3 linked regions of the Ovis aries genome follow. The main gene of each other region encodes a partner of the protein of the gene in region 2 in a complex. Links are inferred from orthologs where the notes say so. Each region holds a gene or a part of one and is shown on either strand. Other genes may lie near its edges.

Region 1 (4,517 bases), on a different chromosome or scaffold from region 2:
TGGAAGGACTGATGCTGAAGCTGAAACTTTGGCCACCTGATGCGAAGAACTGACTCATTTGAAAAGACCCTGATGCTGGGAAAGATTGAAGGCAGGACGAGAAGAGGATGGAAGAGGATGAGATGGTTGGATGGCATCACTGACTCAATGGACATGAGTTTGAGCAAGCTCTGGGAATTGGTGATGAACAGGGAAGCCTGGTGTACTGCAGTCCATGGGGGTGCAAAGAGTTGGACATGACTGAGAGGCTGAACAGAACTGAAAATAAGACTACAGTGTGGTGCTTCTTTAAAGTGAAGCCACTTAGTTGTGTCTGACTCTTTGTGACCCCATGGACTGTAGGCTACCAGACTCCTCCATCCATGGGATTTTCCAGGCAAGAGTGCTGAAGTGGGCTGCCATTTCCTTCTCCAGGGGATCTTCCCAACCCAGGTATCGAACCCGGGTCTCCTGCATTGCAGACAGATGCTTTACCATCTGAGCCACCAGGGAAGCCTACTGATTCTTTAACTTAACCATACATTGCAAGGCATCTTCCTGTGTCAGCATTTTTTAACAGCTACAAGGTATTTCATCATATGATATGCCACAGTTTGTTGAGCCAGCCCTCCATTGGTAGATATCTAGATGGTTGGTTCTTGATTTTTTGGCTTAATGAATAAGCAAAGTCATTGTCTTTATCCCATTGGACTGAGCTCTGTTGGGAAGGAGCCCTGGTCTAGCCACTGATGCATTGTACTAATAATTCCAGGTCAGTGCTCTGAATGTAGCATATGCTTGATAGAATGACTGTGGAATGAATGAATGAAGATGACCTGAATGAATCATATTTATTAGCATTCTTCCTGGAAGCCCCTTAGGCAAAGGGGCAGACAGGCATTGAGTAGAGCCCAGTGGTAAAAGAACTGAATCAGAGTGGATTTAAATCTCAGATCTCCACATGTGTGACTTGAGGTAGCTACTTAGTCCCTCTTTACTTCAGTGCCCTCATCCATAAAATGGGTACAGTTATGGCACCTGCTTCATAGGACTCTTTGAGGGTTAAACAAGTGAGTACATGTAAAGGTCTCAGCATGGGCCTAGCACGTCAGCGTTCATTAAATGGTAGAATGTGATCATCTCAGCTCATCTAGGTATAAAAATGCAACATGCATGATACCTCTTGGTAACCAGGAAGTTACATGACATGGAAACCAGGTCCTTCTGGCTCCTGCTTTTGTGGTGACTGCTGTTGGTTTGATTTGCCTTTTTAACATCAATTTTGCTTCTGAGGAATCAGCTGCCCCCTTAAGGAGAGTATTTATACTCACAGTCTATCACCATGGAGATTGTCAACAGTAGGGAATCCAAGATCACATCACCTCTTTCTGGAGGCTGAAAGTGGACTCTCAGGGCCCTTTAATCCTGCAAATTTAGCTGGGTGTCATCTACATTCTGACTGCTAAAAAGAAAAAAAGGCACCCCAAACTCAGCAGCTTCATAACATCTCCCACCCCGAAAACTTAAACTGTGTCAAGGCAAAGAAGCTTGGGACAAATGCAGTTTCTTACTGCCGTAAGTCCACAGTCATCCTCCACGCCAAGTTGGAAGATTGAGACCAAGTATTCAACAAGAGTGCTCACTGGAAACTGGACAGAAGAGAGGAGGAAGGTAAGAAAAAAGAAGGTGGACAGAGGGCTCAGAAGGAGACCTGGCAGGGAGGATGAGTGAAGGCATTGTGTGCGTATGTGCTCAGTCACTCAGTCATGTCCAACTCTCTGCCACCCCACGAACTGTAGCTCGCCAGGTTCCTTTGTCCATGGAATTTTCCAGGTAAGAATCGAGCGGGTTGCCATTTCCTACTCCAAGGGATCTTCCCGATTCAGAGATTGATCCCTTGTCTCCTGCATTAGCAGGCAGAGTCTTTACCACTGTACCACCCGAGGGTATTATTATTTCTAAATCAAGGGCCACAAATACTTAGATCTTAAGAAGGTAGCATTAGGAACTCTGTGCAGAGAGACTCCCTAACACAGAGGAGTTACATTCAAGCAGTCGTCAAAGTCCCCATTTATATCTTGAAAACATCATAGTACAGGTGTCAATAAGGTTGTGCCTTGAAGTTCTATAGTCAGTGGAGTGTTTCTAGGCATCCAATGTTCTTTGTTCCTAATTCAGCCGCATCTTGATTTGAAGAACATCTGCTCTCCCTGGGTTGGTCCTTCCAGATGTATTACCTGCCAAGGCAGGCTTGACACTCCTTGTCTTGATGTCCAGGGATGAACTTCTGCTCTCTGGCACCTGTTCCACAACTTTGCCCTGCCTGTGCATTTCACATTTCACTTTCAAACCAGAACAGGTGTGCTCTTGGTGTTCCTATGTATCTTAAAGACCATCTCAAAATACTTTGCCTAAATTGACCTGCATAAAATTGTGTATCTTCATTTGTGGCAATCAAGACTGGCCCACCTAAGTTTCTGCAGACATCTAGATATCTTCATATCTTCTTGGAAAATAGTCAAGGGAAAGAGGGTGAGACAGAATTGTCAGGTTTGCTGTAAGTGTGGGAAAGGTTAATAGTGACTTCTGAGAACTAGAAAAGGCTCTTTTCATGTGGGAACTTTAGCATTTGTCACTCTTCTGGTCAGACATGGCTTTTGGCCATTTTTAGCTCTGACTGCACTTGTCTTTGTCTGTGGAGTAAGTGTGTGTGTGTGTGTAATCCAAGAGCAAGAAAGACTGGTTAAGCAATCCCATTGAGCTCCTGTATGCAGAGCAGTACCCGGGGAGATTATGGGCTGATCCTACACTGACTGAGAGGAGATTGCATAAAGAAAGCAGAGTTGGAGCAATTTCAGAAAGATGGCACACTAAGAAGTTCCAGGTCCCTTCTTTTCCCATGGAAACACTTAAAAAGCAACTATTAGCCTAATTGAAAGAAATATATGGGAGCTCTGGAAAACAAAGGTCTATAGCAAAAAAAATCAAATGCCCATTTTAGAAAAAGTCACATTCAAAATGGTAGGAAACTCCATGGTGTTTTTACCTGCCCTCCCCTCATTCCTGCCCGAGCACAGCACGGGGCAGCGTGGGAGAAGCACCAGTTCCCAGCTCCCAGTTCCCTCCCTGGAACACAGAGGGAGTGGAGCAACACTGTAACTTGTCTGGAGGCTGCCGGAGGGATTGGTCTCTGTTTTGCTAACTCAGAGCTCAAACAGGAAAAAGTGGGTAGTTCATATTTCAGGCTAGGAAGAGCTTGGAAAGCAGCAGTGGTCAACAGTTAGTGAAAGCTGACAGGGGACTACAAACTTGCAAAGGTCTGGGGATAAGAAATTATGGGTAGAGAAATGCAACAGAACATCTAAGACTCTGAAAAGAAACCAGAGAGAGGCTTCTTGGAAAAATAAAGGAATTTTAAAGCAGCTGTGTATACAAGGAGAAATAAAAAGCACAGATACACACAGACACAGAGTCATAGGCAGGATGCATGCTCATGTTCAGAAAAGTTGGAAGAATAATTAAAACCTTTATATCTGACTGACTCCAAGACTCAGAACATGCCCACTACTTAGTAGAGATCTTTCCTTGTGTGGAGCCAGTCTGCAAAGACCAGGAGAGATGGCTGTTTTTCTCTCAAGTGCTCAAAAAACAAACAAACAAACATAAGACTTAAAAAGAAACAAGAAAATATGGTCCACTCGAAAAAAATTAAGTGGCAGAAACAGTCCCTGAAGAAACACAGGCAGCAGTAGTACCAGAGAAAAACTAAAAAATAAAACAACAACAACAAAAACTTGTCTTAAATATACTTAAAAAGCTAAAAGGAAATGTGGACAAAGAATTGAAGGAAATCAGGAAAATAATATATAAGCAAAATGAGAATATTAATGAAAGATAGAAATTCTAAAAAGGAATCAAACAGAAATGTGTGTGTGTATACTCAGTCGTGTCTGACTCTTTGTGACCTCATAGATTGTAACCCACCAGGCTCCTCTGTCCATGGAATTCTCCAGGCAAGAATACTGGAGTGGGTTGCCATTTCCTCTACCAGGGGATATTCCTGACCCAGGGATCAAAGCCATGTCTCCTGCATATGCAGGCAGATTCTTTATCCCTGAGCCACCTGGGAAGCCCAAATAAAAAAATGGAATTGAAATATACAGTAACATTTATGAAAAAAATTCACTAGAGACATTCAAAAGTGGGTTTGAACAGACAGTAGTAAGAATCAGAAAACTTGAAGATAGATTATTTGAAATTATTGAGCCTAGGTAGCAAAAAGAGGAATGAATGAAGAAACATGAGCAAAGGCCAAAGACTTGTGGGACACCCTCAAGTTGACCAATATGCTGACTATGGGATAAATTAAAAGAGAAAAGGGTAGAGAGATTATCTGAAGAAATAATGACTGAAAACTTCCCAGACTAGATATGGATCTACAAATCCCAGAAGCTCGGTGGAGACCAAATAAGTTAAATCCTCAGATACACAGAGACAATTATAACCAATCTGTTGAAAGTCAAAGAAAAAGAGAGAAT
Region 2 (4,652 bases):
GTGGGGGGCGAGGAGGGCAGGCTCTGACAAACATTTCAAAGTGCCCCAGCTCACTGGCTCGCTTGGAGCAAAGTCTGAGTTTTTCCCTTTCTCGCTGATCCGTGACGACTCGGTGCAGCCTCCCTGCTGCAGTGCAGGGCCTCGCAGGCCTGCTTGGGCAGCTAAGCTACTTTGCAGAGCTAGATGCCAGGCAGGGACCCTGCACACACGACAAGCCACTGCCTGTGGCCAGCACCAGCCGGGCCCACCTTCCTGGACTAGTGCAGGGGAAGGGGCTGGTCCCCTAAGCTCTTCAGGAACTATTACTTTGACATGCTGACTCACGCTTCAGGTCAGGCTCAGGACTGCAGCTGCAGACCACTCTCAGGGTATGGAAAGACTCATCCCTATGCCAGCGTGCTATCTACCAACCGTTTCACCCCCAGATTAAGTGTACCGTGAAGTGCCCTAATGCTGCAGCACGCCAGGAAACGGCGCTGTCATGAAGTACACGGTGAAGAGCAAGCACAATCTCTCTAGGTAGAAATGACCAGGGGTTGCCCACAACATCCATGGGCTGGAGAGCAAACGAGGGTAAGAACCTCACTGAGAAAACCAGAATCGAGAGAGGACCCGTGGCCACAGCGAGAGAGACTGTCCATGGCGAACATTACGAAAACATAACGCAAGCGTACTGTTTTTGAAATGATTGATTAAAAGTGTGACTACATGCAAGTTAACTGTTTTTTTTTTTAATAAGTTTTTTTTTTTTTTCCCCTCCAAACAAAATTCAAGGAAAAGTACAAGCATTTGTTCAGCCAGGTGTACCTATCTGTGGTTGCCCAGAGACCTGGGCGCGGCCCTCGTGTCTCCACGCGGGTCTGTGAGCTCCTGGGGCCAAGGCACCAAGGCAACAGGCGCCAGGCCAGCGCGGTCTCCACAACAAGCCGCAAGCCGCTGCCGGGCAGGGCCCCGTCCTGCTCCGCCCGCCCCGCGCCCACCTCTCTGCAGCCGGGCGCCGCGGCCCCACGCGCTCGCCCACCTGCCCACGACCCGTGCGGGCCTGAGGACCGAGGAAGGGGGCAGGCGGCCTCCAAAGCTCAGGGGGCGGGCCAGGCGCCGCCGCCCCTCGGCCCCCGATCCCCGAGGGAGTCCGTGTGAACGGCGCCGAGCCCCTCCTCCGCTCCAAGACTCCGCAAGATGAGCCTGGCCGCCCTCTAAAAGGCGCACAGCGAGGCCTGGGCCCGCGCGAGGGCCACGGGGCGCGCCCCGCCCGCCTGCCCGGGGCTCGGCCGGCCCCCGCAGCGCCCCGCCCGAGCCCGCGCCCGCGCCCGCGCCCGCGCCCCGCCCGCGCCGGTCCCCGCGGCACTGCGGCGGTTACCAGGACGCCGGCCCCGCCAGCCAATAGCGGAAGGCTGTCGGCGTGCTCTGAGGAGCCAGCCAATGGGAGCACAAATCAATCATTTGAAACAGCCAATGGTCAGAAGACCGCAGAGCGAGGGGGGGAACTTGGATAGGGAGTGCAGAGGCCGCGACGGACCAATAAAGAGCGAGCGGCGCCGCGAAGGCGGGCCTTGGGCAGCCCGATTGACGGGGTTACAGCCAATCAAACGAAGCCGCCTGCCAGCCTCGCTCTGGACGCCCAGTAAGAGGCTGGCGGGGGCGGGCGCGGCGGGTATATAAGCGCCGGCGCAGCGTCGGTTGTAGCACTCTGCGCGCCCGCATTTCGGCATTCGTTCGGCTCTTTCCTCCGCAGCCGCCCCCGCTGCAGCCGCCGCCGCCGCCATGAGGGAGATCGTGCACCTGCAGGCCGGCCAGTGCGGCAACCAGATCGGCGCCAAGGTGAGCGGGGACGTCTGGGCCGGCGCGGGTCCTCCGGGCGGGGCGGGCTGGCGGCGGGAAAGATGGCGGCATCCGGCGGGCGGCGCCCCCGCATTGCGGCCCCTCGCGGCGCCGCAACCGGGGTCAGGGCGGCGGGCAGCGGCTGGGGTCTGTGGGGACGGCCGGGCGGCGGGGGAAGGGAAGGCCGGGCCGCGCCGCGCCGCGCCGTCCGGGGCGGGGTCGGCTCCGGGCACCTCCGGCGTGACTCAGCCCTGGACCGGCCCGCCCGCGTCTCCCGTAGTTTTGGGAGGTGATCAGCGACGAGCATGGCATCGACCCCACCGGCACCTACCACGGGGACAGCGACCTGCAGCTGGAGCGAATCAACGTGTACTACAACGAGGCCACCGGTGAGGCCCCGCGCCCCTTCCCCACCCCCGTGCCGCCCCGCGGCCCTCCCCTCGCTGACGCCCTCCCGCCCCCCAGGTGGCAAGTATGTGCCCCGCGCTGTGCTCGTGGACCTGGAGCCGGGCACCATGGACTCTGTGCGCTCGGGGCCTTTCGGGCAGATCTTCAGGCCGGACAACTTTGTCTTCGGTGAGCCGCGGATCGGGGTGGGTGGCGGCCGATAGACAGGACGGCGCAAAGGTCAGGGGGTGCCCAGTGTCGCCATCTTCAGGACTCGCAGAGCCGAAGTTCTGATCCACTCTGTATCCTCAGTAGAAGCTGGGTTCCAGGACGCCCTCCTCCTCTCAAGAGTTAGTCAATCCCCTCACCTAAAGCGGCTTTGCCGAGAAGGCCCAGCTGTCTGCCTGCCGGGAAGGAGCAGGCAGATGTAATCTCCCTGCCGGGAAGGCTGAGCTGGAGGCAGTGGCAGCTCGTCTGCTCTTGGGAGTTGGCAGAGGCTGCCCGTGGGAGGGGCTGGTTTGTTGTTGAACCGTGTTAGCGGGTTTCCTCGGGTACGTCGCTACCGTATCCGTCTGGGGGCCTGTCTGCTACACCCGCGGGGTGGGGTTGTGCGTCATCCACACGGTGTGTCGTTTGGCCTTTTTGGCACGAGTGATCAGTGGTGAGCACACGCCTGGCTGAGTAGCAACCGGCTGCCCTCTCTTGCAGGTCAGAGCGGTGCCGGGAACAACTGGGCCAAGGGACACTACACGGAAGGGGCGGAGCTCGTCGACTCGGTGCTGGATGTCGTGAGGAAGGAGGCGGAGAGCTGTGACTGCCTGCAGGGCTTCCAGCTGACCCACTCCTTGGGTGGGGGGACTGGGTCTGGGATGGGCACCCTCCTCATCAGCAAGATTCGGGAGGAGTATCCAGATAGGATCATGAACACCTTCAGCGTGGTGCCCTCGCCCAAAGTGTCGGACACCGTCGTGGAGCCCTACAACGCCACCCTGTCCGTGCACCAGCTGGTGGAGAACACGGACGAGACCTACTGCATCGACAACGAGGCGCTGTACGACATCTGCTTCCGCACGCTGAAGCTGACCACCCCCACCTACGGGGACCTGAACCACCTGGTGTCGGCCACCATGAGCGGGGTCACCACCTGCCTGCGCTTCCCGGGCCAGCTCAACGCCGACCTGCGCAAGCTGGCCGTCAACATGGTGCCCTTCCCCCGCCTGCACTTCTTCATGCCCGGCTTTGCCCCGCTAACAAGCCGGGGCAGCCAGCAGTACCGGGCACTGACGGTGCCCGAGCTCACCCAGCAGATGTTCGACGCCAAGAACATGATGGCCGCCTGCGACCCGCGCCACGGCCGCTACCTGACCGTGGCCGCTGTCTTCCGGGGCCGCATGTCCATGAAGGAGGTGGACGAGCAGATGCTCAACGTGCAGAACAAGAACAGCAGCTACTTCGTGGAGTGGATCCCCAACAACGTGAAGACGGCCGTGTGCGACATCCCGCCGCGCGGCCTGAAGATGTCGGCCACCTTCATTGGCAACAGCACGGCCATCCAGGAGCTGTTCAAGCGCATCTCGGAGCAGTTCACGGCCATGTTCCGGCGCAAGGCCTTCCTGCACTGGTACACGGGCGAGGGCATGGACGAGATGGAGTTCACTGAGGCCGAGAGCAACATGAACGACCTGGTGTCTGAGTACCAGCAGTACCAGGACGCCACGGCTGAGGAGGAGGGCGAGTTCGAGGAGGAGGCGGAGGAGGAGGTGGCCTAGAGCGGCCGGAGCCAGAAGGCTGAGGCCGTGGGAACTCTTTATTCACTCACAGCCCGCTCTGATAGTCTGTCTCACTGTGTGTGTGTTCTTTCCTGTCTCGACATCGCGTGCTGTACAGCCACCACCATTAAAGCGTTTTCATAGTGTCTGGCCACGCCTCTCCAGTTCCTTCCGATAGGCCCTGCGGGTGCTGTTGGCGAAGGTCAGTGCGTAGTTGTCCTGCATGGCTGCGAGGGGGATGCTGCCGCTGAGCCCCTGGGCTCACTGCGCGCATGGGGAGCGCGCAGGGCTGCTGCGGGGGCCGGGGGCTGCCTCCCAGAGGTGGGCCCAGCCTGTGCACAGGAAACCCCCAGGAGGCCAGCGTGTGGTCTGCAGGCACTTGGCCTTTTGGCTTTTAGTCAGGGTTGTCAGTGAGCCCCTTCCGCACTGGGGAAGCGGAGGCACTGAGGGAATTTTGGGTTATCCTGTCCCAGGGGAACCTTGCCTGAGGTTAGGCCTGGCTAAGAGGGCCCAGCCCCTGGCCCCGCCCCTCAGTGGCCTGTCGCCACGACCTCTTCCAGGAGGGGCCCCCCCGCACTCACATGGTATGAAGCCCATGTAGAAAGGGATCAGGCCCTGGCTTCTGTAGACGCCGTTGCTGGGCCAGTGTGTGCTGGGCAGCCTCTCGCCCAGGGC
Region 3 (4,795 bases), on a different chromosome or scaffold from region 2:
CCGCCAAAGGGACTGCTGAGCCTGCTGATTCTAGAGGGGCTTCCCTCCATATCACAGTGTTCCATTTTCTTCATAACACTCTTCACTCATCTTGTGAAATGACTTTATTCACTGGTTTACTCGATGGTTATCTATCCCTTATTGTGGTTGTTTAGTTGAAAAGTCGTGTTCGACTCCTTTGGGACCCGGTGGACTGTAGCACACCGGGCTCCTCTGTCCCTGGGATTTCCTAGGCAAGAATACTGACCCAAGGATCGAACCCAGGACTCTTGAATTGTGGGCAGATTCTTACCAGCAGAGCTACCAGTATATGTAGTGATGTATATGTAGAAGCCCCTAGTATCTGTAGAACATGACAAATATTCAAATACATATTCATCAAAACTTAAAAGAATTTAAAGAAAATCCCGTATGTAAGTTTGAGTTTGCCACATTATTTTAAAATCCAATATTCCCGGCTTCTCTGGTGGTCCAGTGGCTGGGAGCCCATCTGCCATCGCAGATGACACCAGGTTTCACGCCTGGTCCGGGAAGGTCCTACATGCCTCTGGGAGGCTAAGCCTGAGCCACAGCTACTGAGCCCTGGAGCCTGCGCTCTGCGACAAGAGAAGCGCTCCCGGTGAGAAGCCCTCGCATCGCCACGGGAGAGTAGACCCCGCTCACGGCACCTGGAGACGCGCTGCGCACAACGGAGCCGTGCAGCCAACGATCCTAAATAAATCAAAACTTCATCATGCATTATTGCAGAACTCAGTCCAAGCTTCAATATATTTACTTGAAATGCTCTTTAAAGTATAGTTATTGAAGTGTGCTGCTGCTAAGTCACTTCAGTCGTGTCCGACTCTGTGCGACCCCATAGACGGCAGCCCACCGGGCTCCCCCGTCCCTGGGATTCTCCAGGCAAGAACACTGGAGTGGGCTGCCATTTCCTTCTCCAGTGCGTGAAAGTGAAAAGTGAAAGGGAAGTCGCTCAGTCGTGTCCGACACTTAGCACAGACTGCAGCCTACCAGGCTTCTCCATCCATGGGATTTTCCAGGCAAGAGTACTGGAGTGGGGTGCCACTGCCTTCTCCGTATTGAAGTGTAAGTCACACTTTTAAGATGGTCCTTACCACAGCTGCCAAACACAACTTCACGGATTTTTTTTTAAAGGAGTTCTTAAGCACTGAGAGAACTACATGCAGTTTGCAGGTGCTTTCACAAGCCAGGACGCGAAACTGGTGCTCACCACCAGAGAGGGCTATTAATTCCTTGAACACCAGTGAAGTCAACAGGCCCGCAGCGGGGAGGAGACCCCTGGCTGAACCCACCCTGAGGGGACCGCCTTGTGAGATGTTGGGCATCATCTGCTCTAGAGCCCAGAACCACATATTTCAAGTAATTTTCTTGCCTTTCAGTCGACTAAAGAGGGGTGGAAGGAGAGGGTAAGAGAGGAGGCCAGGATAAGGGAGTAAGAAAGAGGAGAGATGGGGGAGAAAGAGGAGGGAAGAGATGGGCGTGGCTCGTGCACAGAGCGGCACTCCAAGCCCCGCCCCCCGTTTCCCAGGTAACCGGGTAAACAGACCTTGTCTCCTCTTCCCTGCGAACCCCGCTAGGTGTTGAAAGGGCAGGGACTCGGGGTGGAGATGTGCTCTTTTCTGAGAGTGCCGTCCCCCAAAGGGTTGGGGCCCTCCAAGGGGTTAGGAGCTCCCCTCCAGCCCGGTACAGCTTACCCCTCAGAGAAGAGTGCCCTTGGACCAGGAATGACGGTGGCTGGGAGCAAATCTCCCCTGAGCATGGAGGTGGGACTCGGCCCGGAAGGAAAGGATGACTTACAAGAGAGGAGAGTCTTCATGGGAACATCTCCCACGGAGCTGGGGCTCAGAGTGGGCTTAGGAGAAGATTTCCCATGTAGTAAGGCATATGAGGAGAGGATGGCATCACCAGAAATAAGATCTCCATCGCGCAAGGGGCTTGAACTGAGGTTGAAAAGACAGAATATTTCTAGGACCTTCGTGGATGGGAGTAATTTAGGAGTCCACGGGGTCTCAGCCTCACAGGAAACAAAACTTCCTCTAAGTGCGTTGCCTGGAAGAGTGGGTTTAGAAAAGGAGCGTTTTCTGGCAGGGTATTGTCCAGAAAGGGTAACACAGCCTCCACTGGGCCAGACGTGTGGAAGTCCACAGGCTTCAGGGGGCAGGAGATGTCCTGTGACTGGTGACCCGGAAGGGTTCGTGGTGCCAGTGGGCAAGCTACCTGCTTTGGGGATGGAGCGTAGAGGGGCACTGGGAGGAGAGTCCGCCTGTGTGGTGATGAAGCCCAGCGCAGAGACGGCGCCTCCTGTGGAGGTGGATATGGGGCTCACCCACCCAGAGGAGCCCCAGATGGGCTTGGTGATAGAACCTTCTGAGTGCCAGCTGGCCCAACAACCTGAGGAGCAAAGGGCGGCTGAGAACACTCAGCCGGGAGTAGAGCCTCCAGACCCCATCAGACCCATATACTCCGGGAAATTTGTTGATCGGATGCCTTGCTGGCCAAGTGTAAGTTTTTCCTAACACTTTCCCCCTTCTGTTTTGACTTACATTCCATCCCTCAGTCTGCGTCTTCTCAATCTCCTTTCTGAAGTACGTGTTGTATCCTAGTATTCATGTAGGTTTTTTCAGAAACATTTTTCTTTTTCCATTCATTATTCTGTGACTTGTTTGTCCTTTCAGTTAAGACTTGTGACTATTATGCTGGGTCCAGGGCACTAACAATTGAAAAGCGCGTGGTCCCTACCCTATGGGTTTAGGTTGTCACTCCAATGTTGAAGACGATAACTAAACAAATATTATATAGATGTCTATATGAGTAGAAAACAAATGTGATTCTTCCTTAATAGAGGTACACTGTAAACATGGAGCTCAATGGAAAATTCAGACAGTTTTGTTTGGAGGAGATGGGAGGTCTTTACAGAGCCAGTAGTACTTGAGCTTGTTTAGAAAGGTGTCGGGGCACTTCCTTCGCAGCCCAGTGGTTAAGATTGCAGTTCCAGTGCAGGAGTCATGGGTTCAATCCCAGGCTGGAGAATTAAGATCCTGCACGGACTGTAAGGAGATCAGACAAGTCCATCCTAAAGGAAATCAGTCCTGAATATTCACTGGAGGGACTGATGCTGAAGCTGAAACTCCAATACTTTGGCCACCTGATGGAAAGAACTGACTCATTTGAAAAGACCCTGATGCTGGGAAAGATAGAAGGCGGGAGGAGAAGGTGACTACAAAGGATGAGATAGTTGGATGGCATCACTGACTCAATGGACATGAGTCTGAGTAAACTCCGGGAGTTGGTGATGGACAGGGAAGCCTGGCGTGCTGCAGCCCATGGGGTCACAGTTGGACATGACTGAGTGCCTGAACTGAGTCCTTAAAAAAATGTGTCAGTATTTGTCAGATGGGAAATAGGATTGAGGCACCTTGAGCCGAGAACGGCATACAGCATGGCCAAAACTTCTTTTGAGTTGGGAGGTGTAAGCAATTCTGTTTAGCCAGCATAGTGGTAGGAGATGAGGAAGAAATCGAAAGGTCCACAATGCGGGAGTAAAACCTGTGGGTAGAGGGCAATGGTGGGTCTTCATGAGGGAGGAAATACATACAATTTGCTTTTTGTAAAGATATAGATGTTATCAATAATAATGGTGGACTGGAAGGGAAAGATATTGGATAGCTAGGCTATTTCAAGCTAATGATGGCCTGAAATTAATGCAGAGTTAGAAAGAATGGATAGGAAAGAGCCATTCTGAGAAGCTTTTAGGAGAGGATATTGTCAAGAATTGCCATCCGGTTGTGGATCTATGTGGTGAAAGGCAGGGAAGTTGATGGACAACTTAGGATATTCTCCGTTGATAATGAGACATCTTCCTGTTTGGTGGCCCATGAGTATCTGGGGAACCCTTGGAGCTTGTGGTCCTGAGTGTGAGATGTCTGCAGGTGCCAGAGGAAACAGCCAGGGAGACAGCCGGAGCCGTGTGTGGGGGTGGGACGAGCAGATCTGGGCAGGAACCTTGGGGAACATGTGAGACTGTCAGAAAAAGGAATGTCAGCTAGGTAATTATTTTATTTTATTTTTTTATTTTTTAAACATTTTGGCCTTGCCATGTGGTATGTGGGATCTTAGTTCCCCTACTAGGGATCGAACCTGCTCCTCCTCCAGTGGAAGCGTGGAGTCTTAACCACTGAGTCACCAGAGACGTCCCAACTATGCGAGTTCTTGAGGACAAGGATTTTCTCGTATTTATCGCATAGCTTCATGGCATATCACAATGCCCAGCTTATAGTGGCCATTCAGTAAATATATGTTGGATAAATAGGAGGAGGGCTGGATGAGCGAGTGGGATAGAAGGAAAAGGTGAGTTGAAGAAGGTGGTATTGAGGACCAGAAAGGGAGCATCCTTAAAATGTTCCGGGAATAAAGGGGAGACCAGAGAATGCCGTTTCGCTGAACTGGTCACAGGGATTCTGCAGAAGTTTCTCTTCTTGCGTCTGCAGACTTCTGTTCCCCTTGGGGCTCAGGGCGTTCTTTTGCCTCTGACCCCTTTACTCTCTGGTTCCTTTGCTGGGTTTCCCCAGCCACCCTCTTCTCACTTGGCCGTGCCTGCTTCTCCTTTCTGGATGGGTTCTGCCGTCTACGGCTTCAGACCCGACCTCACGCGGCAGCGGAGGCCAGCTTCCGGTTTCCGATACAGGCAATTCTAAAACCCCTGCTTCCTCCTGCCTTTCACATCCTCCTTTCTAAATGTGAAAGGACAGGGAAGAGAGCTTCAAGGAGAAAGTGACCA

Evidence for each region. Proteins that work in one complex are often made in the same cells at the same time.
Region 1: the proteins of TUBB4B (region 2) and CFAP107 are in contact, whole or in part, in a cryo-EM structure (PDB 9CPB), measured with the Bos taurus proteins. The link is inferred for Ovis aries from reciprocal best matches to the Homo sapiens genes TUBB4B and CFAP107. Residues at the interface, in NP_001029835.1 of Bos taurus: Lys19, Glu22, Asp26, Tyr36, Asp39, Ser40, Asp41, Leu42, Gln43, Leu44, Glu45, Glu53, Gly56, Gly57, Tyr59, Pro80, Leu215, Leu217, Thr219, Thr221, Tyr222, Gly223, Asp224, His227, Leu228, Ala231, Gly244, Gln245, Phe270, Pro272; in NP_001033296.1 of Bos taurus: Thr74, Val75, Glu76, Gly77, Leu78, Tyr80, Lys81, Leu83, Ile84, Thr85, His86, His87, Gln88, Glu89, Gln92, Arg93, Tyr94, Leu95, Ile96, Ser97, Thr98, Asp101, His102, Pro133, Pro138, Thr139, Asn140, Tyr141, Leu143, Tyr144.
Region 3: the proteins of TUBB4B (region 2) and EFHB are in contact, whole or in part, in a cryo-EM structure (PDB 7UNG), measured with the Homo sapiens proteins. The link is inferred for Ovis aries from reciprocal best matches to the Homo sapiens genes TUBB4B and EFHB. Residues at the interface, in NP_006079.1 of Homo sapiens: Asp26, Glu27, Asp31, Pro32, Thr33, His37, Gly38, Asp39, Ser40, Leu42, Gln43, Thr55, Gly56, Gly57, Lys58, Ser78, Gly79, Pro80, Phe81, Gln83, Leu215, Lys216, Leu217, Thr219, Thr221, Asp224, His227, Pro243, Gln245, Phe270; in NP_653316.3 of Homo sapiens: Tyr523, Gly524, Val525, Gly526, Leu528, Ile529, His530, Asn531, Arg532, Tyr537, Arg539, Asp542, Arg545, Ala546, Ala549, Ala550, Arg552, His553, Lys556, Tyr608, Asn624, Phe625, Trp628, Asp630, Lys631, Thr686, Leu687, Leu688, Ser691, Asp692.

What each region holds. Positions count from the first base shown.
Region 1 is NC_056065.1:54,064,045-54,068,561, reverse strand, and holds the start of CFAP107 (cilia- and flagella-associated protein 107), read left to right. Parts: upstream 1-1,315; 5' UTR 1,316-1,536; coding exon 1,537-1,650; intron 1,651-4,517. UniProt on the Homo sapiens protein: Microtubule inner protein (MIP) part of the dynein-decorated doublet microtubules (DMTs) in cilia axoneme, which is required for motile cilia beating.
Region 2 is NC_056056.1:702,675-707,326, reverse strand, and holds TUBB4B (tubulin beta-4B chain), read left to right. Parts: upstream 1-1,684; 5' UTR 1,685-1,764; coding exon 1,765-1,821; intron 1,822-2,101; coding exon 2,102-2,210; intron 2,211-2,286; coding exon 2,287-2,397; intron 2,398-2,916; coding exon 2,917-3,977; 3' UTR 3,978-4,104; downstream 4,105-4,652. Other genes in the region: CIMIP2A (ciliary microtubule inner protein 2A), read right to left, coding at 4,116-4,204, 4,559-4,652. UniProt on the Homo sapiens protein: Tubulin is the major constituent of microtubules, a cylinder consisting of laterally associated linear protofilaments composed of alpha- and beta-tubulin heterodimers.
Region 3 is NC_056054.1:278,197,949-278,202,743, reverse strand, and holds the start of EFHB (EF-hand domain-containing family member B), read left to right. Parts: upstream 1-1,593; 5' UTR 1,594-1,625; coding exon 1,626-2,519; intron 2,520-4,795. UniProt on the Homo sapiens protein: Microtubule inner protein (MIP) part of the dynein-decorated doublet microtubules (DMTs) in cilia axoneme, which is required for motile cilia beating.